Linked DNA regions of Drosophila melanogaster. The protein of the gene in region 2 interacts with the protein of the main gene of each other region in a pairwise test. Each region holds a gene or a part of one and is shown on either strand. Other genes may lie near its edges. The genes, in order: moi, Su(var)205, Odj and cav.

What was found.
Region 1: the proteins of Su(var)205 (region 2) and moi interact in binary tests that used the Drosophila melanogaster proteins (3 or more experiments, as listed by UniProt).
Region 3: the proteins of Su(var)205 (region 2) and Odj interact in a two-hybrid assay, tested with the Drosophila melanogaster proteins (3 studies listed by BioGRID).
Region 4: the proteins of Su(var)205 (region 2) and cav interact in binary tests that used the Drosophila melanogaster proteins (3 or more experiments, as listed by UniProt).

The regions. Positions count from the first base shown.
Region 1 is NT_033777.3:18,252,234-18,260,522, reverse strand, and holds moi (modigliani), read right to left. Parts: upstream 4,994-8,289; 5' UTR 4,908-4,993; coding exon 4,711-4,907; intron 4,652-4,710; coding exon 4,312-4,651; coding exon of another isoform or gene 2,915-4,311; 3' UTR 2,846-2,914; downstream 1-2,845. Other genes in the region: Tgs1 (trimethylguanosine synthase 1), read right to left, coding at 2,915-4,315; Ada2a (transcriptional adaptor 2a), read left to right, coding at 5,143-5,206, 5,287-6,148, 6,207-6,969; Polr2D (RNA polymerase II subunit D), read left to right, coding at 5,143-5,206, 7,068-7,248, 7,311-7,485; CG12320 (uncharacterized protein), read left to right, coding at 7,824-8,289. UniProt on the Drosophila melanogaster protein: Part of the MTV complex that associates with the HipHop-HOAP complex to form the terminin telomere-capping complex involved in telomere maintenance and prevention of telomere fusion. Potentially functions downstream of mei-41/ATR.
Region 2 is NT_033779.5:8,207,120-8,214,836, forward strand, and holds Su(var)205 (suppressor of variegation 205), read right to left. Parts: upstream 4,004-7,717; 5' UTR 3,725-4,003; coding exon 3,611-3,724; intron 3,548-3,610; coding exon 3,431-3,547; intron 3,355-3,430; coding exon 3,234-3,354; intron 2,985-3,233; coding exon 2,716-2,984; 3' UTR 2,507-2,715; downstream 1-2,506. Other genes in the region: CG8419 (uncharacterized protein), read left to right, coding at 1-350, 408-656, 719-1,277, 1,331-1,479, 1,535-2,152; Ssb-c31a (single stranded-binding protein c31A), read left to right, coding at 4,327-4,383, 4,440-4,715; CG8372 (uncharacterized protein), read right to left, coding at 5,000-5,590; CG8360 (uncharacterized protein), read left to right, coding at 6,100-6,163, 6,218-6,410, 6,662-6,881; CG8353 (uncharacterized protein), read left to right, coding at 7,299-7,368, 7,553-7,717. UniProt on the Drosophila melanogaster protein: Structural component of heterochromatin, involved in gene repression and the modification of position-effect-variegation. Recognizes and binds histone H3 tails methylated at 'Lys-9', leading to epigenetic repression.
Region 3 is NT_033777.3:17,805,442-17,813,426, forward strand, and holds Odj (oddjob), read right to left. Parts: upstream 3,782-7,985; 5' UTR 3,677-3,781; coding exon 3,560-3,676; intron 3,506-3,559; coding exon 2,775-3,505; intron 2,715-2,774; coding exon 2,595-2,714; intron 2,538-2,594; coding exon 2,213-2,537; 3' UTR 1,966-2,212; downstream 1-1,965. Other genes in the region: CG17801 (uncharacterized protein), read right to left, coding at 296-407, 468-581, 652-1,448, 1,506-1,628; Alg1 (ALG1, chitobiosyldiphosphodolichol beta-mannosyltransferase), read right to left, coding at 4,139-4,358, 4,417-4,977, 5,039-5,598.
Region 4 is NT_033777.3:24,217,813-24,225,696, reverse strand, and holds cav (caravaggio), read right to left. Parts: upstream 4,167-7,884; 5' UTR 3,956-4,166; coding exon of another isoform or gene 3,944-3,955; 5' UTR 3,790-3,943; coding exon 3,772-3,789; exon of another isoform or gene 3,732-3,771; intron 3,456-3,731; exon of another isoform or gene 3,355-3,455; coding exon 3,223-3,354; intron 3,162-3,222; coding exon 2,274-3,161; 3' UTR 2,169-2,273; downstream 1-2,168. Other genes in the region: Spps (Sp1-like factor for pairing sensitive-silencing), read left to right, coding at 1-1,948; CG17786 (uncharacterized protein), read left to right, coding at 7,238-7,884; twin, read left to right, coding at 4,850-4,869, 5,134-5,165, 5,354-5,482, 5,546-5,732, 5,922-6,097. UniProt on the Drosophila melanogaster protein: Part of the HipHop-HOAP complex that recruits the MTV complex to form the terminin telomere-capping complex, which binds to chromosome ends in a sequence-independent manner and prevents telomere fusion.

The DNA.
Region 1 (8,289 bases), on a different chromosome or scaffold from region 2:
TTTCAGTTGAATATAATAGTAAATTAGTATTGTAGTAAGGTAAGGAATATTCCTTATATTAAAGGGTGTCCTTGAAAATCCGACCTCAAAGCCAAAATTCAACTTTGAATCAATATTTGCCAAGAGCTGGTCCACGATTAGGCCATAAATCAGTTGGCAATTACTGAGTGTTTACAACCCCCAACCCGCTTAATTAGATGCGCCCATGAAGCAGCTGCACCTGCAGCCGGAGAAGAACAATCGCATTTTGCACAGTTCCCAGGGACTGCACGCTGTAATCGCATTGCGGCATTGTCGCAACTTGCGGCACAAATAAACCACCCCGCCGCTTAGTAACTCTCGGATGGATGGCGGATGGGAGTCGGAGCCGGGATTCCCCGGCTAAGGCCATCATCAAGTGGCGCAAATTACAGATCAAACAGCCAGTTAGCCAGCCAGCCGGTCGGGGGGTGGAAGGACCTCGTTGTTTTGGGTGACCATTTGTCAAGAAGGATGACAACATTACGCTGGAAATTAAATAGCGTATTAAAAGGGTGACTTAATTTGTTTTTTGCCCAAACGAAGGACGCAGCCACTTGTCGCTCGACGAGATGAGCTGTGAACACGTGCTTGCTTTCCAATAAAATATATTTCTATATATTTTCAGCGAGATGCCAGTCGTTTTATAGGCCGCCCAGTCAGGTTATTGAAATTGTTGGCATTGTCAACCCCGCATTAAAGCGGCAATTACATGTATCTAATAAAGGATAACAGCGCTACTGACTTAAAAACCAAAGTGGATAAACCGGATCCGGAAGGGGGCTTAGATTTAAGTAGCTGATAATGACAAAGTTGACGCGTGACGGCCAATTGCACGGTATTTTAATAACAATCCGAACAATAAAAGTCAGTTTTAATCACCGGCAACGAGCTTACTTTGCAATTTGCATTAGAAATGGTGTATTATAGTACTTATGGCAACGTATTCCTTTTTTATTATTCCTTTTTTTTGTCATTATGTCATTATTATATTATTATACCATAAACTCAGCAAGTGGCAGTTTGAGGGAGATCGACCAAAAAGACGAAACTCTTTTCGAAGCCCCGCATCTAGCGTGGTTTAATGGGCGTGGCCATCTTCTCCTACTCAATCTTAATTTTCTTGCTTTTATAGATTCCAAGAGCTCGGCGTTCATATGGACAGCCGGAAAGACATACGGATTTGGCCATATCCACTGGGCTAATGATCCTGATCTAGAATATATCAACTTTACGGAGTCGGAAACGCTTCCTTCTGCCTGTTACATAGTTTTCAACGAATATAGTATACCATTTTACTCTACGTGTAACGGGTATAAAAAGGTAACAAATAGTTGCATAATTCTTTCTGAAATATATATGTATTAGGAAAGGCATAAAAGGATGCTCATTACTTTTAGTAAAATGTCTTATAGAGCAAATTGGTTTATATTTATTTTTTAACGTATCTAAACAAAAACTTTTTTAACATCATTTCTGATATCATTAACTATATCAACTCTATATATTTATACTACAACTATATACTATATACTATGTACAACTATATCACTGATATCAACTATAAGTTCTGGCCTGAACTCATACGCCAAATTTTACGTATCATATGTAAATCTATTAAAGCCCACAACATTAAACTTTACATTTAACTTAAATTTAACTTTGTATACAATTAAAAACTATAATATTCAGAATATTCGCCTTACTCTTGTCAAAATATTGCCATTTTCCAACCAACTTCCCACTAAAATCCGTCGTTCGCAAGGCAGCCCACAAATCAGCGCCGGAAAGAATGCTCCAAATTTCGCTCGAGCTGCTCCGACGCACACTAATAAGTTAATCAAACTAATTGCAGTGGAAAGGAGCAGCCACTTGCCGCAACTGGTTGGGGCGCGGGGTTGGGGGATAATGGAGGAAGGGGTAAATATCTCTGTTGCCAGTTGGCAGCTATAAATTCCGCACATGCCCCGCCCACCGCCCACTGGCCACACCACAAGCCCCTTCAAGCGAACGCACCCCATCCGAAAGAGCTAAGTAAGCTGTAAGCCATGAAAAGGGTTGTTGCTTCTGGTTCCGGCTCATCGTCTGCCGTCTGCTGTGGAATGCCGAAGGAACTGCTGCCTGCGCCGCGAGACGAGCATGTTAATTGCCCCCGAACCGACGTTGCCAGGTTCAGCAGGATGCGGCTGGCTGCCTGTGTTCCATGGCTTTTGGGCCAAGTCACAACTTGTGGCACAAAGTTCTTAAAAATTGACGCACGCTTTGTTTCCTTTTGCGTTTTAATTAAAAGTCCAATGCCAGTTGCAAGAAGGGATTGCGGAACGTTATGGTTATGACCATTGACCATTGGCCAGTTGAGCTTTGTTAAGCCATCTAAATTGGCTAAAGAGCTTGGACTCTTTGGCATCGCCGGTCACTTGGCAACAATCACTGCACTGAAGGGATGGGTGAAAAGATTTTACTCTTGCGTTACATGTGAGGCGGCTTTATTCATTAGTCAACTTTTCTCCTATCTTTCTATGTGGCAAAAAGAGGGAAAAACTTAAGGCGATAAACAATGAACAAAAAAGTTGTTGACCATAGCCAACATTTTCCTTTGATCCATAATTACAGGAATTTGTGAACTCTGTGTGCTTATATGCTTCGAGTTTAATTAAAGATACTTACCAAATCATTTGTATTACATATTAGTTAAAATGCCTTTCATAGATTTATTTTCATATTATGTTATTGGCTCGTTTTGAATATGATTTATATCTAATAATAAGCAAAAAATGCCATGAAATTATGAGCCCGTTTTTTTTTTTAAATCCATTCAACTATACATATGTATGAAATTAAATATATTTATTTATATAAAAACAATGATGTTATTAAAATTACTCTCAATCGAATCCTACTCATCTTCTCCCACTGAACCCTTTATGATTCCTTTACCATAATAAGCAGTGAGCGCAACCATTCGGGTGTCCAGATAGTTGTGCTCCACCTCGCACTGCTGCCCAACTCCACTTAGAGCGACCACCTGCTTCATATTGGCGTTGCGTGGCAGAAAGAAAGCTACGTCAGATGCCAGGCTACGGGACAGCTGCATCAGTTGGCTAGCACCCACGGGCAGGAGACCTGTTTCGATATCAAAGGTGGCCTGCTTTTGGTAGTCAGGACCACCCCACGGAGGGCTCAGGAAAACCACATTTGGGCGCAGCTTTGTGCTGGCCGCAAACTGCAGAAAATCGGCGTGGATAAACTCGATCTTATGGGCCACACCATAAATGCCGGCATTATGCTTGGCCATGGCCAACTTCTCGGCATCGATGTCCACAGCAATTACGCGTCCACAGGTGTTTGCAAACTGAATGGCATTGCCGCCGCATCCACAGAAAGCATCTACGATCACGTCGCAGGCCAGTCGTCGGGCCGTTTGTTTGGCAATCTTCTCGGGTGTCACCGAGAACCAGCTCTCGCGGTCCAGCCGAATGCCCTGATCGAAGCGGGAGAACAGCGAGAATCGCTTGACCCAGTACTTGACCATTTTGTTGTTATCCTCTTGCATGCACTCTGGCATCCTGGCCTTGAGTTTTTTTATTTGCCTTTGCCGTCGTTTTTTCTTTTTAACAGAACCGCTCTGAACGCCGTGCAGAGCCTCGTTTTCGTTGTTCTCCATGGTCAACAGATCATGATCGTCCTCGCTATCGCTGCTAGATAGTTCGTACTGTGTCTTTCTTTCCTTTCTATAATTAATTATATCTGCCTTCGACGCAAATGATGTTGGCAATCCGAGAAGGCGCAGCTGTTGTTCCTCGTCACAATCCTCGGGATCGTCGTTGGCAGTCAAGTATGATTCGTCCTCCTCTTTCTCTGTGACCCTTTGCTGTTTCGATTTTATTGGCTTATTTGTAAGGCTTAGGTTCTGCAAGTCCTCCTCAACATCTTCTGAGTTTTCAGCGACGTCAAGGCCAAATGATTTGGCCAAATCGTGTTGGTAGTTCTCAAAGGCACAGCTAAATATATACCAGAACTTTTCACTGTAATCGCTGGCGTGCTTCTCCCACAGTTCCTGCCAAAGGCCTTGCTCCTCCGACGAAACCACCTCGATAAGATCTTTGTATTCGGGAAACCGCTTGTGCCACTTTTGCTCGAGCAGCTCATGCCCCTCACGCTGCCAGAATTCTTTCCAGGTAACGTTTTGAATGCCCCCCCAATTGCAATTATTCCAGTCGAAATCGTTACCAAAGAGCTGACTGAATATATAGAACTGCGGATTGGTTCGCGAGGTGGTCAGGTGGTGTGTGTTCATTTCTCGATCAGACTTCTCATCTCCAGCCTGCGAGTCAGCAAGTCCTCGGCTCTGTCGATGACCTGGATGTACCATAAGTCGATGGCCGGTCTGTAGGTGGCAAGTAGCGCGCTGAGATACTGTTTTTGGGCCAACGGATCGTTGGACAGACTATTGATCTTGTCGTAGACACCGCCGGCGGTCAGTTTGGCACCTTTGGGATGCTGCACATTATGTAGCACCACTTCACCACGCACAATGCAGTAGCGGCCGGTACTCACGCGATTTTCGACGACTTTGTCATGGGTAAGGCCAAGAATAAGCAAGGATACGGTGCCCTCGCCCAAGGAGTACTTCCTGAAAGATGCAGCATCATTGGTAAGGACCGGATGGATAGGTAATATAGAAAAACTTACTTTGGCAAACACTTAACGCGCACGTTTTCTAGGCGGTACTGATTCGCCTTGAACGCCAGACGTCCAATTAATGCGCACTGACCGTAGTGCAGGTTGTGGTAGGAAGTTTCCAGCTCCAGTTCCTCCACCAGCAGGGTCTTGAAGAAGTAGCAGTACTTGGGCGCTCTCGAGGTAGAGGCTTCTGGCACCAGGGACATAACTCTCTTGGAAAAAAACCAAGAATTCCGAACAAAATCAAAACACCCGGAATGATAAACTCAACATGCTTGCTAGTGTGACCAACGTATCTACGCACGATGCGACCCACCTATCGATAGCTTCTTCGCCAGTTATAGCCCTGCCTTTCTCATCACTAAAAACAGCGACATTTTATTGTGCAAATTAGAATTTCTTAATATAAACTTTAACAAACTGAGCAGTTCTTAGCTCACTATGTCTTTTATGAACCCCGTGGATATGGTGGATGAGGACGCCGCCGACCTGCAGTTTCCCAAAGGTAACCAACGCCCTACACCAACCGAAATGCAACTTACAAGTGAAACTGGCTGAAACCTTTGGCTTCGAGTGCCCCAAAAGTGGCACTCCTCCACATTTTTACCACACTGAATTGCCTCTTTGCAGTTGAGCCACTGGGGCCACAGGTTAAGCGGTTCATCCATGCACATCAGAATGAACACACCAGGAACTCCATGGTTTTGTATAATCCGCACACGTTGCACAGGTACTTGGAGGAGATGGAGGAAAAGACGCGGGACCAGAATAGCAGTGTTCCATCGGCTACAAAGGATGCCAATCGGTGTGCCACATGTCGCTGCAGTCTCACAGAGCCGTACATTAAGTGCTCCGAGTGCCTCGACACCCTGCTCTGCCTGCAATGTTTCTCACGTGGAAAGGAGGCCTTTTCTCACCGCAATAACCACGCTTACATCATAGTCCGCGACAACATACAGGTTTTCGCCGATGAGCCACACTGGACGGCACGGGACGAGCGCATACTGCTGAAAACACTTCGCACCCACGGCTATGGCAACTGGGAGGCGGTCTCCCAGGCTCTGGACCAGCGCCACGAACCCGCAGAAGTGCGTCGTCACTACCACGATTGCTACTTTGGCGGGATATTCGAGCGGCTCCTTAATCTGAAGCATGCGAGGGACAGCTATGTGCCCGAGCGAATGCCGTATGTCTTCAAAATGCGCAGCTTGGATCCACCACGTCATGACGACATCGCCTCCATGCAGTTCAGACTAAGCGCAGGTTACCGCTGTGCAAGAGGAGACTTCGATACTCCGTACGACACCTCAGCAGAGAGTCTGCTATCTATTATGGTGGATCATAGGGGCAGGGATGACGACAACGAGGCGTCTGAGAGTGAGTTTGAGCGCGAAGTGACAGAGGAATTGCAACTCGGACTAGTTCGGGCATACAACAATCGCCTCAGGTATGATCTTATAACAGAAAGCTACTAAAAAAAATCTAATATGCATATTTACTCACAGAGAGCGCCAGCGTCGTTACAAGATAATGAGGCAACACGGTCTCATAATGCCCAATCGCACCGTCAGCTGGATTTCCAAGTACGTGCACGCCTTTGGCAGCGATGCGAGTTGCATGCGTTTCTTGGGCTTCATGCAGATCTGTCCTGACCCCATTAAGTTCGATATGCTGTTGGAGTCTCTGCGTTATTATCGGGAGCTGCATAGCCAGCTGCACAAGCTATACGATCTGCGGGAGCACGGCGTTCGAACTCTTTCCGGAGCCAAATTATATGCCCGCTTGAGCAAAGAACGTCAGCAGGCTCAGCGAGATTACAGCAGGCTGAAGCAAACAGATGCTTTCGACTGGCAGCAATTGGTGCAGCATTACGAGAGCAACAGGAGCGGTGATCCTGGTCCCCTGGCCATTAACTCAAAGTTATATGTGATGAACACGCGTCGAAAGGCCAGTCCCATTGAGATTGGAGGTGGGAAACACTTTACTCATTGCCTGACACCAACTGAATATAATTTTTCTTTGATCCCAGATCTGCCTGGTTACTCCAAACTGGATGATGGCGAGCGAAAGTTGTGCAGTGTGGCTCGTCTGGTTCCGCAGTCGTATTTGGACTACAAGAATCAACTCGTTACGGAGCAAGCAAAGCTCGGATATCTACGACTGGCCGATGCGCGACGTCTCATCAAAATTGACGTGAACAAAACGCGTCAGATCTACGATTTTCTGCTGGAACATGGCCATATCAGCAGACCACCGTCCTATGGCTAGGGCTAATTTTTTCTCCAATGTTTCACTTGTAAATTTCCTGAATGTCGTCAAGTAACTAATTCAAGAAAAAAAAACCCTTTCGTTTCTCTTTGTTTCAGAGTTCGAAAATGCCGAGACGCTGCTGATATCGGAGGTGCACATGCTTCTCGATCACCGAAAGCGACAAAACGAATCCGCCGACGAGGAGCAAGAGTTCTCCGAGGTCTTCATGAAGACGTACGCCTACACGGATAGTTTTCGAAAGTTCAAAAACAAGGAGACCATAATGTCTGCGCGAAGGTAATGTAGCAAAACCGAACAAAGCACGTACGAGTAGTAATATTCAATTATTTCAAATTCAGCTTGCTGATGCAGAAAAAGCTGCACAAATTCGAACTGGCGGCACTGGGTAATTTGTGTCCGGAGGCGCCCGAGGAGGCCAAGGCGCTGATTCCTTCACTAGAGGGTCGCTTCGAGGATGAGGAGCTGCGCCAAATACTCGACGATATCGGCACTAAACGCAGCTTACAATACTAATTACTACTACGTATAAATATAGTTTAGATATAAAGTCATGGTCCACTTACACAATAAAGTGAAGAACAGCAAGAATTTTAAGTAAATGCAGAATATACACTGTAACAAAAATCAACAAAGTCTAAATACAATGTAATTATATCAAACAAAAGATTTACTTAAAAAAAAGTATATATAAATTGAATTTGCCGCTTGAAAGAATTGTTTGTCTAGTGTTGCCAGACTGCTCACATGAAAGAACTTATCGAAATAGCCGTCACATCTGGCAACTTGCTGAAAGGCCCGCACTTGCAATTGTTTTCTTTTTCCTAATAATTGCAAGCGAACAATATTTCACAATGAACAAGGACAACTCCAGCATGAAAATGGATCCGCAGCTAGCCCTACGCCTCCTGGCTGATGGCGGAGTGCTGGTCATCGCCGGTGTACCCGAGGGCACGGAATTCGGCATTGATCTTTGTGCCTACACCATTGGTCCGGATTTCCGAGGCGTCAAGATGATTCCACCCGGAGTCCACTACGTATGGTGCTCCTCCCGTGGTCCCTACGGCGATGCAGCCCCTCGTGTTGGATTCGTGCACTTCTTCCATCCGAATGAGATTGTCGTACGAGAGTGGGACCACGAACTGGAGGAATTGCGCCCGCGGAGGATTGCCGAACCGGAAGTGGAGCGAGACCGAATACGCAAAAACCTAGCCCAACTGGAGCGCGTGCTGGCGCCGTACGACTATCGTTACGTGGTCCAGTGGAAGGAACTCACCGGCAGCGTGACGGAGTCTTGCGTGGATCGCTGCCGTCCGACAG
Region 2 (7,717 bases):
CCGTGTCACCATCACCCAGCATTACTCTCAGACCGAGTACCCCTCCCGAGAACACCGTAATCTTCACAGATGATCTCAAGTGCGGCATCTGCCTGGATGTTTACACAGATCCCAGGACACTGCATTGCTTGCATTCCTTTTGTCTCCAATGTCTGGTCAGCGAGAACTTTAAGGACGAATCTTTGTGGGATCAGGATCAAGCTCGCAGTGAGGAGCCCTCGAATTACAGTCTAAGATCGGAGATGGGTGGATCTAGTGCGGAACTTACTGCGACAGTATCACCCGCCAGGCAGCGAGGTTCCAGTTTTACATTGAGAAGAAAGAAGTCCATGGATCGCCTAGTGATAAGGGTAAGATAGCAAGATACAAAGAGGTTATGTCCTATAAAACCCAATTTATTCGAACAGTCCAAGAGTGACGGAAAGCGATCGACCAGTTCCATCGGTACCCGATTCACCGGAAGTTTTGCCAGCGAGGTATCCACCCGCTGCATCCGCTGTCATACCTGTAACTATCCCACGGATCTTTCGTTAGGTGGAGTACGTCAGCTTCCACAGAACTACTTGCTAGTGAGACGCATAGAGGTCTTGCGACTACAGGCTGGGGAGGATGTAATCTCCAGGGTCTGGTGTTCTCTTTGCACAGAGGAGATTAGCGTAAGGAGGACGAAGTCATTAAGTGATTTGAAGGCTGTCTAAAAGCGTATAATCTTTTCCAGGCCACCTACCACTGCATTAGCTGCACTTTAAACCTCTGCACCTTGTGCAAGGAGGCACACGAAAGGCAAAGGAGCACCGCTAGCCATCGAATGAGAAGCATCCTGGAACTTAGACGCGCCAGGAAGCAAAAGCAACAGCAGATGGGATTGGGAGATAGTAGCAAACTAGTGCTACGATGCGGAATCCATACCAACTTTGAGCTGAAGGCATTTTGCACCAACTGCCGTCAACTGGCATGCACCGACTGTTTGGTGATCCTTCATAAAGGCCATCGACATGAGACCATATCCCGGGCAATTGGACATCAGGGTAAACTACTCAAAGAAGCTACGGATCAAACTCGTCCCCTCTGTCAATATGCGGAGCACTCCATTGAGAGGTTGAATGCCATAGCACGTGGAATCAACGACCGGTGTGACGACATCCAGACTCAAGTGGAGCGGTACATGCAGCAGTACATGGATGCCCTGACAGTCCATCGCAAGACTCTGCTCCAGCAAATCAGCAGAGCTAGGGAGTCCAAAGTGGAGGTAGTGCTCAAGCAGCAACTTGATTTGGGTAAGACATATTTCATTTGGTTAAAGCTCTAGTTATCTGACGTAGTCCTGTAGAGAAACGCACTCAGCAGGCCATGGATGCGGTTAGATTTAGCCAAGAGCTGTGCGAGATTGGTGCTGATGTAGAGATTCTGAGTTATGTGACTATACTTCTAAGGCGTTTGGAGTACTGTCAGCAATTTAAGCCGCCTGTGGATCCCAAGGTAGGTTACCAAATTGCTTGTTTTATTGTTTTATAAAGTAAACCATTTTACCCAGATATCCGACTCGCTTCACTTCCTACCAAAAATCCGTGCTCCGTCGACAAAGGACCAGCGCGATATCCCTCTATATGGCATCATCACCATGCAGGTAGTGGAGCCTAGTCTATGCACCCTTGAGTGGGAGGGATTTTCACAGCTGCGCCTCCACAAAAAAGCGGATCTTCTGCTTCACTCTAGAGATGCCGACGGGGTTTCCCTCTGCCACGGTGGCCTGGAGATCAACTGCATGCTGAAGTACAAGGACTCCAGTTCCAAGTTTCTACCCGTTGAGGTGTCGGACAATCGTGATGGCACCTACAACATATCCTTCACCCCGGATGCCCAGGGCACGTTGATTCTCACGATCACCATTAACGACCGGCCCATCAAGGGAGGTCCTTTCACTTTTCAAGCGCGACAGGTTCGTCCGCATACGGGCATCTACCACTGCTGCTCCTTCTGTTCCGGAAAGGGCAACCGGAACGTGATGTGCTCGTGTGAGGGTCATATGCCTGGATATAGTGGCTGCGGTCATGGACATGCTGGACATCCAGGGAGACGTCATTGGTCCTGCTGTGGAAATGTCCTTGAGAACTCGGAATGCAATGTGGCCAACAAACTGCTTAATTCTTAAGTAATTGATTAGGATGCAGGGCTATAAAACGAATAAATTAACATATAGCCAGGTTTCGCCATTTTGTTTGTTCATCTTGTGAAATTTCAAAGATCTTGTAGTTTATACGCACGCGCAGATAGACAACAAGGATACTTCAAAATAAACGTTTTTCTACCTGCAAAATACATGCATTCCAACAGACCCGACAGTCCATTTACAATGTGCACACAATAATCTCAGATTGCTAAGGCTACAAAATCCCTTTCGACCTCTGGAATTACCAATTGAATTCTCCTTATTACCATATGGTCAGCATATGCGCGTCATATCCTGACCGTTGAGCAACAAGTCGCAAATAAAAGTTACTTATATAGGCTCCAGCAGAATAAAGGTTTTTTTTATTTATTGAAAATGGTTATCATAAATACAGACACTGACTCTGGACATTTATGGAAAAAAGTCCGATGCCTTAAGAGTTGGTTGGGTGGTTTTGAAAGCGCCTGCAAGGAGCTATAATTCTAAGTGGGTAATTTTTCGTTAAATGTATAATCGTTCTTTTTCGCTTTCGATGATCCAACTGTTTAATCTTCATTATCAGAGTACCAGGATAGGCGCTCTTCGTAGAAGTGGATTACCATTCGTGGGATTTTTTCATTGGCCACTGAGGAGGGCACCATTTCTGCTTGGTCCACGCCTTTGAACTGAATGAGGAATGTCAGGCGGCCATTATTGTCGGAGGCACCCAAGATCTTTTCGGCCTCCAGGCCGCGATCGAATCCGGTAGATCCTGAAACGGGAATGGTGTCCTGCTCCGCATCTGTGGTACGTTTTGATTTATTGCCAGAGGGCGCTAAATAAATAAAATAAAAACAAGTAATTAATACAGTGCAATTTTTTAATAGATGCATTTTTTTATTGCAAAGACCATCTTTTTCTTGCGCATGCCATTCTTGCGAAGGACAAAATTTGAGATACATATGTGAATACAGTTTTGACGAAAAGGGCAAATAAATGCCAGTGGATATTGTAGGTGATGACTATTGTTATACCAATTTGTGTACAGAAAATATTTGTAGGTACACTCAATTCCATAGCTTACCTGTTGGTTCTTCGGACTTTCGCTTGCTTGCTGTGGACGTCGAACTGCTGGCGCGTCCTTGAGTTTCCTTGGCCTTGGCGCTGCTGCTGGGTCGATCCTTCTTGGAGGCGGCTGACTTCTCCTACGGACCGAAACGAGATGTAAAGGAAATCCTAGCAAGCACAACTGTACTTGGCATCGCATTGTACTTCACTTACCTCATCCTTGCGGCTCGCCTCGTACTGCTGGATAAGATCCTGGCAGTCGAGATTGTTCTCCGGCTCCCACGTGTTCTCAGTTTCGGGATAGCCCTTCCATTTCAGATAGTACTCCACCTGCAGGTGGAAAATGGCGTTTTAGGACCAAATATAATGGGACGTCTGGTTCGGAAAACTCACCTTTCCCTTGCGCACCCGCCTGTCGATGATCTTTTCCACGGCGTACTCCTCCTCCTCCTCTTCGGCATCGGAAACCTTTGCCGAGCTCTCAGGGTTGTCGATTTTCTTGCCCATTTTGTTTTTATTAAAATACTTCACACGACAAAAAATAAGGAAAGAATTAGCACAACCGCACACAACCGCACACACACGCAAAGTACGAAAGGAAAGTACGATTTTTAGTCGACTCTCTTTGCTTTCATGGCTCACCTAGATTAAATAAGATCTACACTTTATGCACGCAGCTAAATTGGTTTTTATAAGCCTGTGTGTTGGCGCTAGAAGACTTTCCACAAAATGAAAAATCTGCAAAAAAATGCGCGTTCTAAAATGACGCCGGCCGAACAGTGTGCGAAAGTACGCGTGGACTGCTAAGACTACGCTTATCTATTTTCCGATAGATTTGCACATCGTATTAATTTCATTTTAAGTCTAGAAAAATGTTAACACTAAGAACTATCTAAATTTTACAACATAACTATAATAATAACGTAACTAACTGATCGCCAATATCTGTTTTTAAAAATTTTGTAATAAATCGATGAATCGATTAAGGAATCCGTTGTACCACAACTATTATCGACGCGTTTCACAGCACTGAATAAGTTGCGCGAATATTCACGAATTTTTTGACAATTTGCGTTTTGTTTCTTCTGTTTTACGGAAATTCTATAAAAATGCCCAAAACAAAGAAGAAGGATTCGTCCTCAGATAGCGATAGCGGTCCAGATGATGTAAGTTAACTAGAAATACACCAAAACTAGGTATAACAAGTTAAAACCTCTTTCAGCGTATCAAGCCGGCAAGCAAGAAGGCGAAGGAATCTGATGCTCCAAATTCAGATCCAAAAGATTCGGGCGAAAATGGTGCTACATCTTGGACCCTGGAAGGACTTCGCCAGGTGCGAATCAACGAGTTCCGCGGTCGCAAATCGGTGGACATTCGAGAGTTCTACGATAAGGGCGGCCAAATTCTTCCCGGCAAGAAGGGCATCTCCCTATCTTTAATTCAATGGAAGAAACTCCTTGAAGTGGCCGAAGAAGTCACCCGCGCGATCGAGAATTAATTGAAGTTCATCCACATGCCAAACTAAGTCGTAGCCATATGTACTAACTATAGACATATCCACTGAATAAACGTTATCTTAAACACTAGTAATTGAAAATCTGTATTTTCACAGTTGCTGAAGCATTAATGAATGACCAACTTAATTGCCTGATAGGTATTTTCCTTATCTGCTTTGTGGTGGGACTACAAAAAGCACACATATACATAAATGAATGAATCCTTTATTGGACGTCATATGTACATAGATTTGTACATTGATAGCATTTGATATAGATATGAATATTAAAAATAGATGCCCAGAATGGTGAAGATGGACAGGAGAATGGCAAACGGCAGCCAGGTCTTAATAAAACCCCCTATTCCGACGTAGCGGCCGCAGACAAAGAGCCACATGCTGAGGATAATCATGTTCCATGCGGTGCTGTCGTAGTAGCGCATGTAGATGAGTGCCGTTGCCACATGCGAGTGGCAGTTGTCACAGAAGATATTGTGGATGCGGGTGCCGTAGAGCACAGATGCTTTGGAGACCGCCTCGTCCCAGGCGTAACTGCCGCCCACCATGTGCTTGGGGTGCAACCTTATGTACCGGGTGGGTCTTCCAAAGGCCATGTTGTCCTCTGATACGAAGTAGGGGCCGGCGAAGTCACGAATCACACCGGACGAAGTGCAAATGCCCATATGTCCGATCATGGGCATCAGCCAGGTGAGAACCGGAATGGGAGTCCAAACGATGCAGTAGGGGAAGCGTTGGTCCTTTACGTTGATCGGAGGCAGTCTATCCGGAACGCCATTGCCGGCTCCTCCTCCGGAACTGGCCATCGAGATCTGAACGTCCTCGGACTGTTGCCGCTGCGGACTTGGGTTTGTCGACATTATTACACTGTATTAGGTTGATATTTGTGCGGGGAAGCCACAAGAACAGTCACTCACGGTCTTCCCGGCCGTAATGCCCATGAAACGAGTCGCTAACAATTCCAATTGGGCTTTAATTGTACGATAAGGAGAAAATAAAGCAGTCGCAGTTCACTCACATCTACCTCAGTATTTATTGACATGGAGATTGACAGTGTTGGAAAGCATTGCTGTATGGCAGAGGCGTCTGAAAGGGGGATCCAGAGACCACGTACAAACGTAGTCACACGAAATTTTCAACTCCGCAAAGTTGACAAATTCTTTTTTTTATTTAGGTATGTATTTGGAAATATGTTTCTACATTTGTGGAACAGCAATGTTAGAGCCCCATAAACTTTACTTCTGTGTACGCCCCTGCAGCGAACAGCTGTTGCAGCAGTTGCCATTGCGTTGGAAGTGAGAACTGGTGCTGTGTTTATTGGCTGAGCTGCTACTTCTATTGTGAAATATTCATTAACAATCGCTTGGCCATGACACAGGTGTTTATCAATGGTGCCAGAGACGATCTCAATGTACGGGAATTCCAGAGCCTGGGTACGAAGTCGTGAAACATTGCCATGTCACTATAATTTGTGGTCCTTTCTGCAGATCCTTCGATTCAAGAGATCATCCTGGCAGCCACGGAAGCCAGAAAACAGGCTTATTGTCCGTACAGTAACTTTGCCGTAGGAGCCGCCCTGAGGACCAGCGATGGCACCATATACTCCGGTTGCAACATCGAAAACGGGGCGTATGCCACCTGCATTTGTGCAGAGCGCACTGCAGCCGTCAAGGCCATCAGGTCAGTGGGTCAATATTCTCTGGGTCACATACGCATCGCTTGAGATCTATCCACAGGAAATACTGAAAGTAAAGCGTTAGTCACAGTAAAGCTTATCTTGGATTAAAAACTTAGATTTCAATATATTGAGATAACCCTTGACAGCAATGAGGAATGTTAATCTGTAATGACAACACTATTACTTAAATTCTTACATACTTAATTATCCTCTCCAAGTCCTTTCGAATAACTAAAATAACACATTTTTACAGTGAAGGCAAACGCGACTTTGTGGCTTGTGCAGTGGTGGCCCAGCAGGATAATGGCTTCACCACGCCTTGTGGCGTCTGCCGGCAGTTCCTCTCGGAGTTCGTCAACGGCAAGGACATCCCCCTGTACGCCGCCAAGCCGACCAATCTTCCATTGAGGGTGCTCTGCACCAGCGTTCTCCAACTGCTGCCCAACGGCTTTAGCTTCGCCAACGGAAAATAGAAAAGAATATCCCAGCCCAGCCCAGCCGGACAGGGTGCAATCCATGTGCAATAGTTTATGTGACATCCCATTTATAATGTTCTGTAAACCCACCCCTCGTTATTTGTTGATTGAATAGCTTATACGAGATACGGCATCTGTTTGTGTTTTTCACTGCTCTCCGCGATCGCGATCGTTGCTTATCAGCCTGATACCTGGTTCTCTCTCGCGCTCCGAATTGGCCAAATGTTTATTTCTGTCACCACTACACGGCGGAGAGTGCTATCAGCATAGCCAACTTCGGGCGCCGCCGTCACCACAAACCGTCCATTTGCCATCGGACGTTCAAAGGAGAAACACACGCACTCAACTTGCTAAAAATAATTCAAAATTTAAGAAAATAGGCGTGCCTCTATTGACCAAAAGAATTGAACTATAATGACACATCTGACAAAAAATTTCGCACGTCCAGAAAAGAATGAGGAGGTTGTGACCTTCGGCAGTCTGGGTAAGATTCCTTCTCGAGATTGAGAACAATCTGAGAACAATCCTTAAATATCTACGACTGTCAATTATTCAAAGTGGTTCTTATGATATTAAAAATAATAATGTTATAAATTAATACTCCTTACACTCATTGACAAGATCTAAGTTTAATTCTTGAGCGTGGCGTGCATTGTTTCGACTTCCAGATCCGTCGGTTCAAGAACTTCTGACAGCTGCTTTTCAAGTGCGCCAGCGGGCATACGTTCCATATAGTGGCTTCAAAGTTGGGGCTGCTTTTCGGGCCAAGGTCGATGGAAAGATCTTCACTGGCTGCAATGTGGAAAACGCCGCCTTTACGCCGGGCTCTTGTG
Region 3 (7,985 bases), on a different chromosome or scaffold from region 2:
TAAATGAAAACGATTAATTAAATAGTAAGGTATTTAACATTTCGAAATGAATGGCTGTCCAAATATTACACTCTTAAAGAAACTACTTCATAATAGGAAAAGCAAATGACAAAAATGTAATACAAAAAAGTTATAGCAAACGAAGGGCAATCCAGTGCCAAAACAGTGAGAATACGTTCAAACATTTATGTCTAATAGATATCCTGAGCCTCAGAATTATCCAAGTCGTGCTTTCATCTACATATCCCGCATCTTATAAGACGGAATTAAAAACGATCTCTAATTCTTTGGCGAATCAATGCTCTTCGGATTCCAGGATGGCGCTGGCTCTTTTCTGGTGAGCAACCGAATCGAAGTGACTCCTTAGCGTTGCCTTTCGGGCAAAGTTGATTTGGCAAATAACGCAGCTGAGAGGGAAATACACGACTTGTATTAAATATGCGCAAATTTCATATCATTTCACTTACTCAAAGGGCTTAAGACCTGAGTGCAGGAACTTGTGCTTATTCAAGCAGGTCTTGGTATTGAATCTCTTGGTGCACTGGTCGCATTGGTACCTCAGATCTCTGATGTGCCGTATTCTGTCATAGTGTTAGGAAATTGTTTATGTCAGCGCTTTTAAAGTTAAATACAATTGCAGTAAGGACTTACCGCTCATGGCTCGACTTAGCTGTACTTGTGAAAAACGTTGCCGAGCAGAAGTTGCACTCAAACGGCTGTTCGCCCATGTGGCGCACTCGTTCGTGTAGACGAGCCAGATACTTGGTGACGAACCGCTTGTCGCAGAACGTGCATGGAAAGTTCTTCTCACCCGTGTGGCGCACCATATGCGTCTTTAGGTTGTATGGAGTCTTAAAGACCCTTCCGCACTTAGGGCACACCAGGGATTGCATTTTCCGAGCTGTCCTTTTTGCAGGGGGTACATTCTCAGCTGCCACATCTTCTGGAGCTAATGCAAGGGGCTTTACTACCTTAATAGAGGGATACGTTGTAAGTAGTCTCAGATCGGTTCCAATTTGTATAAAGTTTCCCTTTTTTGGGCTTTTTGCATCGACTTTGTTAGGCAAGTTTTCATTTGCAAATGAAGGAGTCTCAATTAATGGATTTTTATGCTTAAATATTAAGGGGGTTTCCGAATCATAAGGATTATGTGGTTCGTTTCTCCTATCCTCATGGGCGAGATTTAAATCAATATCGGATTCCTCTGCTTTTTTGTCAAATGGATAGTTTTCTGAATCATATGATTCCTCCGATTCCAAGTCACTGGAATCCCCTTCTGGCTCTATATCGGATACAGTGCTTTCTAGATCCTCATCAAGCCCAGATTCCCGCCTCAGCGTTGCTTCATTGTGAACTCGTTGAATGCGCTTCTTTAACTTAATCGATGTGTTCAAGTCATTTAAACAAGATGGGCAAATATGACGCGGCTGGCGTTCATTCTGTTCTAACTGTAAATGGAGTAAATGGGTTATGCCATTCACGCACACAAGAAACCATCAACATACCCATATTCCAGTGAGATCCTTGATCTTGGCCAGAACTTCCAGGCAAAAAATTATCGTGGGATTCAGGTGACAGAAACACGAGGCGCACAAATGGCATTGCGAAGGCTTTTTCATTTCAAACATATGATCATTTATCCCGCTGAATTCCCAAAACAATCAGCTGTAGTTTAATTGATTTTATGTTGTCAATTATGGAATAAAAACGGTAAAAGAGCGTACGCAATCCGAGAATTTCTGTTTACTCTCTCTAAGCAGCAAAATTTGTATGAATTACCTGTTTCATGGCGTTACCAGATAGGTGTGGAAAAACTAACTGTTCTTATTTCCTAGAAACCAGGGAACATCGAGCTAGTTTTTATAATTTAAAATTTATATATTATAAACGGGAGGTTAAATTTTCCCAAAAAGAGAGGTTCAAGCTAAAACACACGTTCGGCTAATTCCTGACGTTTTTGAAATTGGTTCCATATAATTTTTATTAAAATAAGCGCGCTGTGCAATTAGAATAAAATATATTTTATAACAAATTGTAATCTAAGACCGACGTTGAATTCCTTCCACACTGGTGCTAATCGTACGGCTGGCTGGTGATTCAAAGGATTTCTCTGAACCACCGAAAAAGTCAGATAGTTTGCATCCCTGGCATTGTGGCGTGTGGAGTGTGGAGTGTGTGGCGCCAACAGTCGATTTTTTTTGTGTGCTTAAAGTTAGGTGTACAGCTCCTCTCCATCGGGAATGGCTTCCTCGTACTCGAAGTCCTCAAAATTTGCGTCCTCATCCTGAAGTACCTCGTGGTCCTCATATTGTTCCTCGTCAATGTTATCTAACATTACGTCCAGTTCAGCCTGGTTGTCCTCCATTTCTGCCTGCCCCTCTTCCATATATCCCGGAAACTCCGCCGGATCGACTTCAGACTGGAATTCCTCTTTTGGACCATTAACCAGCAAGTTGACCCGCTTGCGGTGATACTTTGTGGAGTAGTGCCGATGCAAAAACTGCGCCTCCTTGAACTCCTTGTTGCATGTGAGGCAGCTGTGAAAGAATATGAGTTTGTACATCTATGGCTACGTATATTTCAATGATTCTTACATATGGACATCCGGTTGGTCACTCTTGTGCCCCTCCTCGTGCTTCAGCCGTCCCTTCTCGCTGTTGAATCGTTTGCCGCATATTTTGCACGGGTGCACCAGCTCGTTGGCATGCATTTGACTGTCAAGGTTTTTATGGTTTATATAGATAAGGACTTGTGATGATTAGGCCAGCACTCACCGTTCATGACGACAGCGGCTGGGACTATTGGCGAATCCCATACCGCAGAACTTGCAGACGTACGGTTTCTCGCCCTTGTGATGGACTCGAATGTGCAATCGGAGCAGTGGCATGGTGTAGAACTTGCGACCGCACTCGTCGCATGAAAACTTCTCCTCGAAGTGCCGCAGCTTGTGATCCTTCATGTTGCTGTGATCGTTGAACGACCAACCGCACTGGTCGCACACGTATCGCTTTATCGAGCGATCGACCTTGGGTTTTGGTCGCCGCTTTCTGGGCTTTCGGACGTGCTCCCGCGGAGGTGGCGGTGGACTATCTGCCTTCTCGACCACAGGCACACGAAGCCGCTTGACCCTGACTCGTGGGGACTGTCTGTTCGGGAAATTTTGGTCCTCGATCCGGATTTTTTTGGCCGGAGGATATCTTAAAATCGGCTTTTCGTCCTCCAAGAAATCCTTATCATCATCCATTAAATCCTTATCATCGTCCAGTAGCTCCTTATCGTCCTCGGTGTCTACTGTATCATCCAGCACCTCCCGTTTCAGCAGCGGATCACTAAGCACTGGCGAAACCTCCGGGGAGCCTTTTGAGGCGACACCCGCCTTCGAGGAGATCCTCTGGTGGAGATTTGCGTGCGTCTCCAGGCATCGCTGCCTGAAGGCTACGGCTTGGGTCAGGTCCAGGAGACAACAAGCGCATATGTGCTGGGGCAGCATATTCTCTAAAACGATCTGGAAATGCATAGATTATGAATAATTCCGGACAACAAATAAAAGGGACGCCACCTCTAAGCCCGTGATTTGCTCGATGGCCATCCGAATGCGATGATTGCGCTTCTCGAAGATGTTCTTTGGGTGCGGCGTGAAGATGCGCTCGCCGCAGATCCGACACTCGGTGCTCATTCTTTCGAAACTAAATAAAATTGATTAATTTTAATTACAAATTATAGTAATTTTTGCGCAGCCGGTTTGGTTTTGAAGTGTGACCGTTGTCCGCAACTAGAGGTGTCAAACATTGATGTTTTTAAAATTTTCCGATATATCGATGTTTATTTCAGACTATCGATATTGGTGTTCAAATAAAAAAAAATCGGCACTGCATCCCGTGAATTTTCTTTTTTAATTGAAATACATAATACTCCTAAGAAAACACGCTTTACAAGCGAATAAATAGTTGTATATATCTCCTTTTTTTAGCAATTTATTTTTATCTTTAGGCTACGATTATAAAAATAAAATAAGCATCATAAGCAAGTTTGAAGCTCTTTTGTGTACAGAATTTGTAGTAACTAGCCTAGAAAAAGCGATTAGCAATCAAAGGAAGTCTCTCATAACGTGTAATTGTCAAATCTTTGTCAAAATGCTCTATAGAAATGCCTCCAGTACGGGGGCCGCGATCAGGCGCCAACTCTCCCGCCATCGCAGCTCCTGGAACTCCTGGATTTTGCGCTGAAAACCAGCTCTTGTCTCCAGGATGCTGGGATTCTTTGGAAAATTTTCGAACCAAATCCTCAGCTGCTCGGCCAGCTGAACATGGTCGCCAAACACGAAGCCATTCTCGCCGTGCTTCACCAGCTCATCCAGGCTAAAGAGCCATTTGTAGAAGTTAGTAAGTAATAATAGTAAATGGCAGGATTAGTTACCACTTGAAATCGTAGGCGCAGACAGGCAGCCCGCTGCCGAACATGTCGACCACCTTCATGGGCAGGTCGAGCCCACTGGTGCTCCAGTGCAGACACACGCCCAGGTCGGCGCTGGCCAGAACAGTGGGGTAGTCCTCGATCTCTAGCCAGGGCGTGATCACCGACACCTTCTGCCATTGCAGCTTCTCGATCTCCGCCACATAGTGCTCCTTTTGTGGCCCCTTTCCGGTGATGATACACAGCAGGGAAGGATAAACCAACGGCTCTGCTTGCGCAGTCTCCTCGTAAGCTTGCAAAGCCTTAAGCAGTATACCGAAGTCCTCGTCCGGCGTCCAACTGGTGCTGGAAACCAGCACGGCTTGTCGCTGTGGTCTGTACTGCACAACACCGCTGGCCAGCTTTTGGGTAAGAGCGGTGGCCTCCAGAACATCGGATTGTTCGGCGTCCTTGGCCTGGAACTGTGGGTAGTCTTTGGCCAGCTTCAGGTACAGCTCGTGCTTGTGAGTCAAGTCGATGGGATGGAATTGCGCGGGCGCACGATCATACAGAACTTTGACAGGCCTGAAAGATGAGTCGCGGCTGAGTTATTTACTTCGTTTAGATGGATGTGATGAGGACTTACCCAATGCCCCAGTTTTGCTGCAGATCCTCTTGCATGGCCCGCGTCACACAGAAGTGTGTGTGTGCCTTGGAGCCGAAGTATCGCTCCAGTCGCCTAACCAATCGTATTAGAGGACTCTGCTCTCCCTTCGACATTCCCAATGCCAGCACTGTGTACGTGTAGTTGTGCCAATCGATGGCCAGCTTGGTTCGTGTGACCGCACAGTACAGATAGCACACAATCAGCGTGGGAATGCCGGGCGGATTCTGGACGAGTAGGAAGCTGGGACGGCCAATGGAGATGAGAGCCATCAGCAGACTGAGCGTCTGCCAAAAGGCCTTGAAGAGCAGGCGCAGTTTGGGTGTTAGGTTCGTCACTGGGACGGCAGTTAGCTCGTGGATTCGGCAACGTGGATGTTGAGTCAGTTCCTCCAGCGGCCTCGTCTCCAGATACCCAATCATGTCCACGTGGTAGTTCTCCTCGAGAAGACTCTGGGCATGGTACTGCATGCGCGGACTGCGTCCAATGTCGCCCAGCACGATGACGCAGGCGTTGCGCTTCTTGGGCAGCACTTCCGCCATCGCTGGGCAAGAAAAATAAGCGCTTTATCTGCGATCAAAGGGAATTGCGCGTTTTGTTTGTGATTCGGTTGAATCCTGTGGAATAGTGGGACCGTACTCAGCCGCTGCAAAATGCCTCGGAACTCTGCTATTATGGCGCTATGTTAGGGTGGTTCATTTCAACATTTATTTACTACCTGTTTTAAAAATTTGGGTATTTTATCATTTTATCCATCTATTCTATTTCATTTAATTTTTTAAGATGAGTAATCAGAATTCTTAGATTTATATGAGCGAATATATATACTGTTTAGATTTCAAAGTATGAAGTGATAAAATAGCATAATTTTAAGCTACATTTTTTCTCTAACATTGCATTTACATTTCTTAACAGTACTGTAAAATAAAATGAGTGCGGTTAACAGGGAAATAACTTAACAGTTGCCGAGTGACCGTACCTGCTTTGCGTATGTATGATCTTAATTGCAGTAAACGTGACTGGTCACACCACACCGCTCAAACTGAATTCTCCATTCAAATTCGGATTCGTATGGACGTAACGTCGCGGCTCGTGAGTGCGGCACTTTTCTAGCGGGACTTCAAGCTCAGTGTGTGTGTGTGCGCGACAGTGCGTCGGTGTGTGTGAGTGTTTACCCACAAAGCTGTGCTACAATTTTCGCAGCAACTAATGCTCAGGTAGAGGAAATATTATTAAATATACTAGTTGGTGATGAAAAACAAATAATTGAAACAAAGTTTATGACTGCTTAAACGGGAGAATTGCCGGTGAGTAAAATCAGGAAAAGCACTCCAACTGCCGTTATTTTACGCATTTTCGCCGGCACAACAAGCCGGCTTTCCACCCTCCAGTTGGCGCCTGTCTGGATGTCAATGTGTGGGTGGCTCTATCGTTGTCCGCGTGTGTGTGTATCTGTGTCTGTGTGTGGGGGTATTTCGAGCCATCGAATTTCGATGAAGTGGAAATGCAAATTTCGTACACCACATACTACAATTTCCCGAGCTCCTGCTGGCTTTGTTCTCCATTTATGCATTTTTATGCGCGTAGTATTTTTCCTCTCTAGTGCCATCGTCAAATTTGTCACCCGGCTGTCTGAGATTATAACTAGGTGTACAGATGCGGTAGAAATATTAATATCGTTTACAGATTTTTATACGCGTATGAATAAGCAATAAAGAGGATACTATAACCTTTAAGGCCATCAAATATCCTTAAAGATATTATTTGCAAATGTCAAAGGAATGTCAAAGATACTATTATTGTATGTAATTGCTCTTAAAGATCACAAAGACTGAAGTATGATAATCTTAACAGCTACTTTTAATATTAAGAATTTCCCATTAAGGAAGTAAACAATTATAGAAATTTACTTATTTGACTTATAGCTATCAAACAAATATGCCGATCCAGATTTATTGCTTTTGAATATGATTTTCCGCATGATATAGATATTGTATTATTCTGAACCCAGCTGTGAGTGTGCTCCACGTAGTTTATCCCATTATGCTCGTCTGCAATTTCTGATCCAGACGCGATACGCTCCGCGCATCGTCCTTCTGCTCCTGCGTCCTACGTCCTTCGCAGAAGGCAGATAGCCAAGCCAGCGGGCCACCCCCAAACGGTGGGCGGTGAACGCGGGGTGGTGGTTGCACTGCTGCTCGGATGGTTGGGTGGTTTTTGGTGGGTGGCTGTATTTTCCTGGGGTTGGCCCGCAAGTTTCCACTCTTGATTTTTGATTTCAGTCCGACTTTTTATGGCGCTGCAGAAGTTTTCGCTCTGCCGTTGCCCTTTTGCGCTCTTTTTCATTCTCTTTCCGTATGGCAGCATTTGGCATAGAAAACTTATCCTCGGTCTAGACACGGAATGAAAAGGACATTTTTCTTAACCAGGTTTATGCGGTGGCAATATTGCAAAAATCATATCTCAGGATAATTCATATATTTGCCCTAAAGCTATTATTTGTAACGATAAATGGACTGATTGTACTCAATAATCTGTTTGGTCTTATGAGAAAATTTAACAATAATACTTTTATTGTTTATTATCAATAATATCAATATAATATTATATTATAATCAATAATATCTATATCAATAATATATGTTATACATATACATCTTTTAACATCGATAAGCGCACTTTTTGCATAATACTACTAATTCACCTTTACCTTTATGGTAAGTTTATTACCAGCTAGAATAATTGTTGGAATGACTGAAATCAAGGAATGTTGGTAATTCTAAGAAACAATCCATTTTTGCTCACATTTCACAACATATCTATTTCCATGTACCATGCCAAATCTAATCGTATAAACCTGCTTTCATTTTAGTTGCATTTGTCTTTATTTCTGTGCGTGTTTGCTGTCTGCGACATTTTCTGCTTTTGC
Region 4 (7,884 bases), on a different chromosome or scaffold from region 2:
ACTGCAAAACCTGATGCAGGCGCAATCCCTGCAGATGCCCTCCGCCTCGCAGATGCAAATCATCCCGCAGTTCTCACAGATAGCCCAGATTGTTACGCCCAACGGTCAGATTCAGCAGGTGCAACTGGCAATGCCGTATCCTCAGCTGCCTCCGAATGCCAACATTATACATATCCAGAATCCCCACCAGCAGCAGCAACAACAAGTACAACAACAACAACAGCAGCAGCAGGCGCAACAGCAGCAGCAAGCGCAACAGCAACAGGCACAGCAGCAGCAACAACAACAGGTCCAGGCGCAGCACCAGCAGCTCCTTCAGGCGATCAGCGATGCCTCGGCGGGGGGACAACTGCCGCCCAATCAGCCCATCACCATTACCAATGCCCAGGGCCAACAGCTGACCGTGATTCCCGCCCAACTACGCCCAAATGCGCCTACCGCACCCACTCCTGCTCCAGCTGGTGTGCCCACACCAATGCAGATGCCCAATCTTCAGGCTTTACCCATCCAGAACATCCCAGGCCTGGGTCAAGTGCAAATCATTCACGCCAATCAGCTGCCTCCTAATCTGCCAGCCAACTTCCAGCAAGTACTAACCCAACTACCCATGTCGCATCCTCAAGTGCAAACTCAGGGCCAAGTTCAGGTGATGCCCAAGCAGGAGCCGCAGAGTCCAACGCAAATGATCACCAGCATCAAGCAAGAGCCGCCGGATACCTTTGGACCCATTTCCGCAACTGGTAATCCTCCGGCACCTGCCTCTACTCCAAACACAGCCTCACCGCAACAGCAGCAGATCAAGTTCCTGCATACGGAAAGCAATTCCCTGTCCAGCCTGAGCATACCAGCCTCCATTCAGATCACAGCCCTGCCACAGCAAGCGACGAATACACCGAATACCCCAGCCACAACCCAACCAATTCCCGTATCGTTACCTGCAAGAAGTAAGGTCAACGCTGTGACCACGTCAAGCACCCAGATTACAATTGCGCCGACTGGTGGCCAAGTGGTGTCCGTCACGACGCAGGCTAGGGGAGCAACTGCCAGCATAAGGAGCACGAACACCAGCACGACGACTATAACAACGCCGTCACAAAGCCATCTCAATATGAACATAAGTGTGGCCAGCGTCGGAGGTGCTGCAACTGGCGGCGGCGGTGGAACAGCGACTGGAGAGCCCAAACCACGCTTAAAGCGAGTAGCCTGCACCTGTCCCAATTGTACAGATGGCGAAAAACACTCGGACAAGAAGCGCCAGCATATATGCCATATAACCGGCTGCCATAAGGTATACGGGAAAACTTCCCATCTAAGGGCTCACCTGCGTTGGCATACTGGCGAGCGACCATTTGTCTGCTCCTGGGCGTTTTGCGGCAAGCGCTTCACCCGCTCCGATGAACTGCAGCGCCACCGACGAACGCACACGGGAGAGAAGCGTTTCCAGTGCCAGGAGTGCAACAAAAAGTTCATGCGCAGCGATCACCTGTCGAAGCACATCAAGACGCACTTTAAGAGCCGCTCTGGCGTGGAGCTAATTGAGCTGAGCATCAAGCAGGAGACCAAGGGTGGCAATGCACCGAAAAGCATTAGCACGGTGAACGGCATTGTGACGATTGAGATTCCGGGCGGCGGTTCAGCGGCGGCGGGCAGTGGAGCCTCCAGTGTGGCGGCCACGGTTGCAGGCTCAACTGTGACGCCGGGCGGGGCCACGATCGTTCAGCTGCCGACTGTGGAGGCCAGCGGCGGGGGTGATAGTTTCGGCGATGATGAGGACGACGAGGAGGATGATGAATTGACCGAAGAGGACGACGAAGACGAGGAGCTCGACGAGGACGATATGGATGATTGCGAGGATGAGGAGGATGACGAGGATCCAGAACTAGACAGTGGCGATGAAGTGAAGATGACAATTGCGGTCAGTGAGCCTGGCGACAATTCGTCCAACTAGCATTCGGAGTCGCTGTTCATGGAACAGTTCTTGTTTGACCACTTCCCGTAGCACCCACCGCCCCCTGCCGCGCCCCATGGGACCATGGTTTAGCAATATATAAATTGTACATAGCGTAATTATGTAAAAGCGAGCATTTTAAATGTTTACCCTTCTTGTACAGCTCCGGTTGCGGATCATCCTAGATTAGTGTACATAGCTTAATCGACCATCGTATTTTAATTAAGATTTTTATTATACATTTTATAACATTTTTAGGGATTACATGTTTTTAATTAATTAACACCAATAAATGAAGAACTTTATATAGTTTAATATATGGACATCAGGCTATTGAGGTGACGTCGATCGGCTCAGATTCTGTATTTTGAAAAGTGATAGTTCCTTCCGAATCAATTGACGGTCCAATCGACAAGCTTTCCGAATTAATTTGATCACACCTTACCCAGCTCTCATTCATCTCTGTCTCTGGACAGTTTACCTGATCGTCAGGCTCTTGAGTCGACGTGGGTCGTACTAATGTGCTCAATTGGGTGCCAAACATATAGTAGTCCGGATCAGACTCCGTATTCCGGAAACTGTTATTTGCTTGCGAATTTATACATCCAGTCCGCATCCTTCCTAAATTAATTGGATCACATCTCACCGAATTCTCATTAATCTCTGTCTCTGGACGGTTGATGTTCTCATCCTGAAATCCTGACTGCTGCTGTTCGTCCTCATCGTCTCCGATGCCGCTAAGATCAGATGACGACACGCCTGGCGGAGCCATCGCTTCCACTTGAAAGTTCATTTGAGACAGTGAACTAAGATTTGTGTTTGCTTGGTCCTCGTGGCTCTGCACCGCGTCATTAGAAGATGCATGAGCGTCTGGAGAGGATTCTGGTGCTGATAGGTTTTGACTCTTTTTCTTTTGCCATCTATCCAATCGGCTGATGTTCTGCTTCTTAGTCTCGGCTGCAACTATTTCTCTTCGCTGGGCCACAAACTCCTCCGGATACGGTTGGACCATCTTTCTGCGCACCGCTTTCATATACATTCGGTTGATGAATCTCTCAGACTTGTTCACAAAACGTCCTTTTGCTTCAAACCTCTTTTTGGCTTCCCACAGACAATTCCAAGCGGTCATATCAACCTTCACTTTGGTGCGTAGACAAAGCTCCTTTACCTCGTCCTCGGTGTATGGGCGTGCCAAGTCCTCCTCGGTTATTCTCTTCAAATACAGGATACTATACAATATACAATTTCAATTTACAAAATGAAATGCGTCTTACCGTTTTTTCGTGCATCCATAGAATCAATTTGTTGTTAGGATCGCTTTCTTTGAATTGCGCACGAATTTTTTTGTCCTCGTCGGCTAGATACTTTCTCAGGAAGGCAGACATTTGCGTCCCCGACATATTAACCTTTTTTTAAAAACACGCAACATTAAATTAAATAAATTACAACTTTTTAAGGGCATTCGCGGCTAATGGATCTATCGAAACTCTGTAAGGTTATCGATTAGTCAGTATTTACAGATTTTAATGGTTTAGCTCGATTCTAGCTAAGTATTTTCGTTTGCTGTCAAAATAAACTCATTTTATTTTACAAATTAATAATTCAAAGCTCCTGATTTCAATCCTATAAAAAATATCAATTCAAAAAACAGGGGTCTTAACTGTCATACAAAATATAGCTACTTTCTCAATACGCTAGTTGGAGCCCCTGCTTGCAAATTCTTTCCGATAGCCGATTAACAGCAAGTGGGCATTTCCGCGTACGCCAAACCAGCGCACAAAAGAGAAATGGAAAACGAAGGAAAGCGAAGAACGAAAGTTTACACATAGTAGCAGCAGCATAAATTCACAAATAAATCGTCCATCCAGAGATCTAAACTACATAAAATATATCGCGTCGAAAGCCGAGTCCTCAGCAAAAAGCATTGACCGAAAAAAGTGGCTAGTAAAGCAAACAGTACGAAATATCTACGTGTTTTTATTTTCAGCCCTGCACCTCTTTGACCATCTGTGTGCGTGTGCGTCTTGTGTGTATGTGTGCGTCTTGTGTGTGATGTGCTCTTGTTTTGTTTTGACTGAAATCCCATTTGAGTAGTTCTTTTTACAAACAAACGTTGTCTCACACTTTATCAGAACACTAGGCCGGACTTCAGTTGGACGAATAAGCACGCATTTTGGACAAATCTTGCCGTGATACCGTCCGCTGATAAAACCGAGTGGCAACTCCGACTGCTCACCATGTATACAAAAACAAGAACCGACGATGAAAGCGAGTCGCGTGATAAATAAATGAAAAGCAGAGGCCCAGCAGAAGAAAGAGCGATCCAAAACGAATAGGTTGATTAGCAGAATCGTCGCTTCTGTTCCGACAAACACGAACGAAAAGCAGCAAAATAATAAAATAACAAATATAGGACCCAAATAAAGGCACCAAAAACGGTAGAAGTCGGTTAAATTTCACAGTGAATATCGAATATTGCTGAATCCCCAGCTGCGGCTTCCTTTTTCTTTCAAAATCCTCGAGTAAGTGCAGGCGGAGAGCGAAAAGAGCGCGCGAAACGAGGAGAGACGGCGAGTAAATTTGAGCCAGAATTTCCGATTGAGGTGACTTCCTAGGAATAGTGAACTGAGCCAGGTAATCCTACACAGGTTCCTGATACCCACGATTTTCAATATGCGACATACGGCTTTCCTTCTTCTTCTTGTTTTGCCCGCCCACGCCATTCTTCTTTCTAACTGTATAGTGTTTCTGTGTGTGCTACGCGTCCGTGTGTGTGCGTGTGTGTTGGTGCTTGCACTTTGCGCGCGCTTACCAAAATCATTTTCGTTTGCATTTATTTATGATTTACAATTTACCATCCGCAGCTGTGCGAAAGCCAATAGCAGTTCTTTAAAGCCTAATATGTGTATCTTTAAAAAAAGGTGCATAGACAACGTTCCAAAATACATATCCAATGCTATTTATTAATAAAATATAAAGATTTTTCCTAAAATCCTCCAACTATTGAGTTTGGCGGTATTTTCCATATCGACCTTTTACCTTGTACTTAAATTTTAATTAATAATGTTTAAGAACTGCTATTAGTTTTACCTTAGCTGTATATGTAAACCAAACCCGGACCTCAGACCCACCTTTGTTTACTAATACAAAATAATAATGGAAACCACTTTATTAATATTTTGCAGAGACGCTTATCATCAGGCGGTTATTATGAAAGGTTATGATTTGATTCCAATACTCCTAGATACATTTAAGCTAAAACTCAAAGCATTCATTTTTGTTGCTAAGCGAGGTTTTGTCTCCTAACATGAGCCCTAACTTCCTTGAAACAATTCCAGATTTTAACTTGTTATCTCTTACCTTATACATATATTAATATAACTCTCTTCTATATATACCGAACAGGCAATCATTATAAAATGTCTCGTAACAAAGACAAATACGACAGCGCCAATCGGCGGCAGCAGATCTTTCTGTCGCAGGAGGACATAGCTGCGGGCAAGAAGACGAACTGGAGTGGCCTAGAGATTACTGGTGGGTATCACACACTTAATCCCGAAAAATATCATATTAATTCTACCATACATCTGTTTACAGGCTGCGTCCGCAATATCAGCCCGTCGCTGTGGGAATTTGAGCATCTAACCGCCCTCTACCTGAACGACAACCAGCTGCTGCGATTGCCCGCAGACGTTGGCATGCTGACCAGCCTCCGAACTTTGGACCTGTCCAGCAATAAGCTAAGAAGTCTTCCCGCAGAGCTCGGCGAGCTCATCCAGTTGCGGTGAGTTTGTGGGTTGGCATAGGACATGATTTACGTTGTTAAATCGTATTTTAGTCCTATTATTATGTCTCATACTCTATTGCACCCTTAGCAGTTGATCTATTGTGAAATCGCTGTCTGGGCGCAGACCCTATTGATCACTGATCCATGCTTTTCACTAAGCCACTCCATTGTCTTGCCTCCTTTTAGGGAGCTGTTGCTGAACAACAACTTTCTGCGCGTACTGCCTTACGAGATCGGCAAGCTGTTCCACCTCGTCATACTCGGCCTCATGGGCAATCCGCTGCAAAAGGAGTTCATGAACATCTACAACGAACCGAACGGCACGCAGAAACTGCTCACCTACATGCTGGACAACTTGTCATGTGAGTCCCCCCCATGTCTATCTAAATCCCTGAGTATGTGTGTGCGCGCGCCCGGTGCGTGAGCAGCTCCTGACCAGGTGTGTGTCTGGCTGCGTGTGTGCATGTTTGGGGTAAAAAGGAAAGCACGCGAAAAAAGGCTTCCGAAAAGAGAAAGTTTTCGAAGAAACTACGGACTCAAGGGTATTTTAACTATCTTACTGGGCTTGATGGGATTTTATTGATAAAAAAAAGGAAGCTTAAAGTAGGAGATAATCTTTCCATGTGTTATCAGCAAAAATTCTTTATGTAACTGCTCAAAATATATATTTATTAGGAAGTTTAGGGCATGTTGGAAAATTTTGTTTTTGGGGATCAAAAACGATTTCGATGTATTTATATATAGTAGGGTTGTAACAGCAGAAATATATATTTATTCGTCCATTTTCAAACGCAGTTTGTTAGCTAATGTTTTTCCGCACCAGGATAGGTCATAAAACCTGTTGCCAAAGCCATAATTAAAGTTCAAACTCACGGCTGCCCATTAATGCCAAAAAACATAATGCCCGCGCATCAATTAAAAATGTCTAATTGAATGCAACAATTACAACAATTGGCGGACTTGGCCAAAAGAACTGCACGACCTCGACATGCAAAAGCCAAGAGATGCTGCTCTCCGATGCAAGTTGGCCCAAAAAAGAGAGCCGGTGGCTGAGCGTCAGAGTGTTCGTGTGGACCCAATGTGGAACGTAAGAGACAGAGAGAGAAAGAGAAAGAGAGAGAGAGAGACTTGTCTTAACGGCTTTTACTGTTAGCCGGGCTTCGCTGTCGATCGCGTTAGCAGCTGACTTCAGTCTGCCGCTCGCTTGGCTACGAGGCGGACGCACTAGCTCCACTCTGCTCCTCAGTCTCTCTTCAGCTGGAAACCCGTTCGCGAGCGTCGCGCATGCGCCGTGTGTTTCGTAATTGCGATCGCGTTGTGTCCCAGTTTCTTGGCGTTCGCTTTTCATTTCGTTGCGGTGGAATCGCTCGACTGTTGGCCAACCGAAATGCCTCTCTGAAAGGTGGCTCGCTCAAGTCGAATAATCTAACCAAGCGGCCAAGTGATGTGCAATCGACTCGATCCGCCGACAGGATTCAGTTTGGGACTAAGACAAAAACAGTATGAGATCGCATGTGGCCGTTTACAGGGCGCCAGAATCAGCAGCACCACCACCACCGCCGCCCAACTACGCGTCCTTGCGATACCACCAGCATCCGTTGAGCCATTGGCCGGGTAGCCAGCATCCAGCTCCTGTGTACAGGTTGCATCATGGTCCGCCGTCTGCACCACCGCCCAATTGGGCAGCTCAGTCGGCTGGCCAACCACCTCAACCAGTTGGCTATGGAGTGGTTAATCAGCAGCGGATCAATGAGTGCGCCGGCATACCGCTCATCTCGAATGCCTCCAGTCACTTGTCGCCAGCCCAGCGACAGAGATTGCTGAGGAAATCCGCCCTTAAAACATGTCCAACTTGGCCACCTGGAGGGGCCACTATGTCCCAGCTGGCTGTGCATGCCCAGGGCATGCCGCTGCTCCAGCAGAATGGCAAGCACCATCTCCAGCAACAGCAGATGCAGCACCACCAGCCACTACATCACCATCATCCTGTGACCAACAACTGGAGTGGCTACCAGCCGATGAGCAGTCAGCCTGCTTTCAAGTTGGCTGACAAATCTCGAGCCCTTCGCTATCAGAATTCGGCACCACCGGTGCTCAGTAGCCAAGAGAAGACGCCTAACAATGCTGCTGGCCAGGATCAGGCCACCTC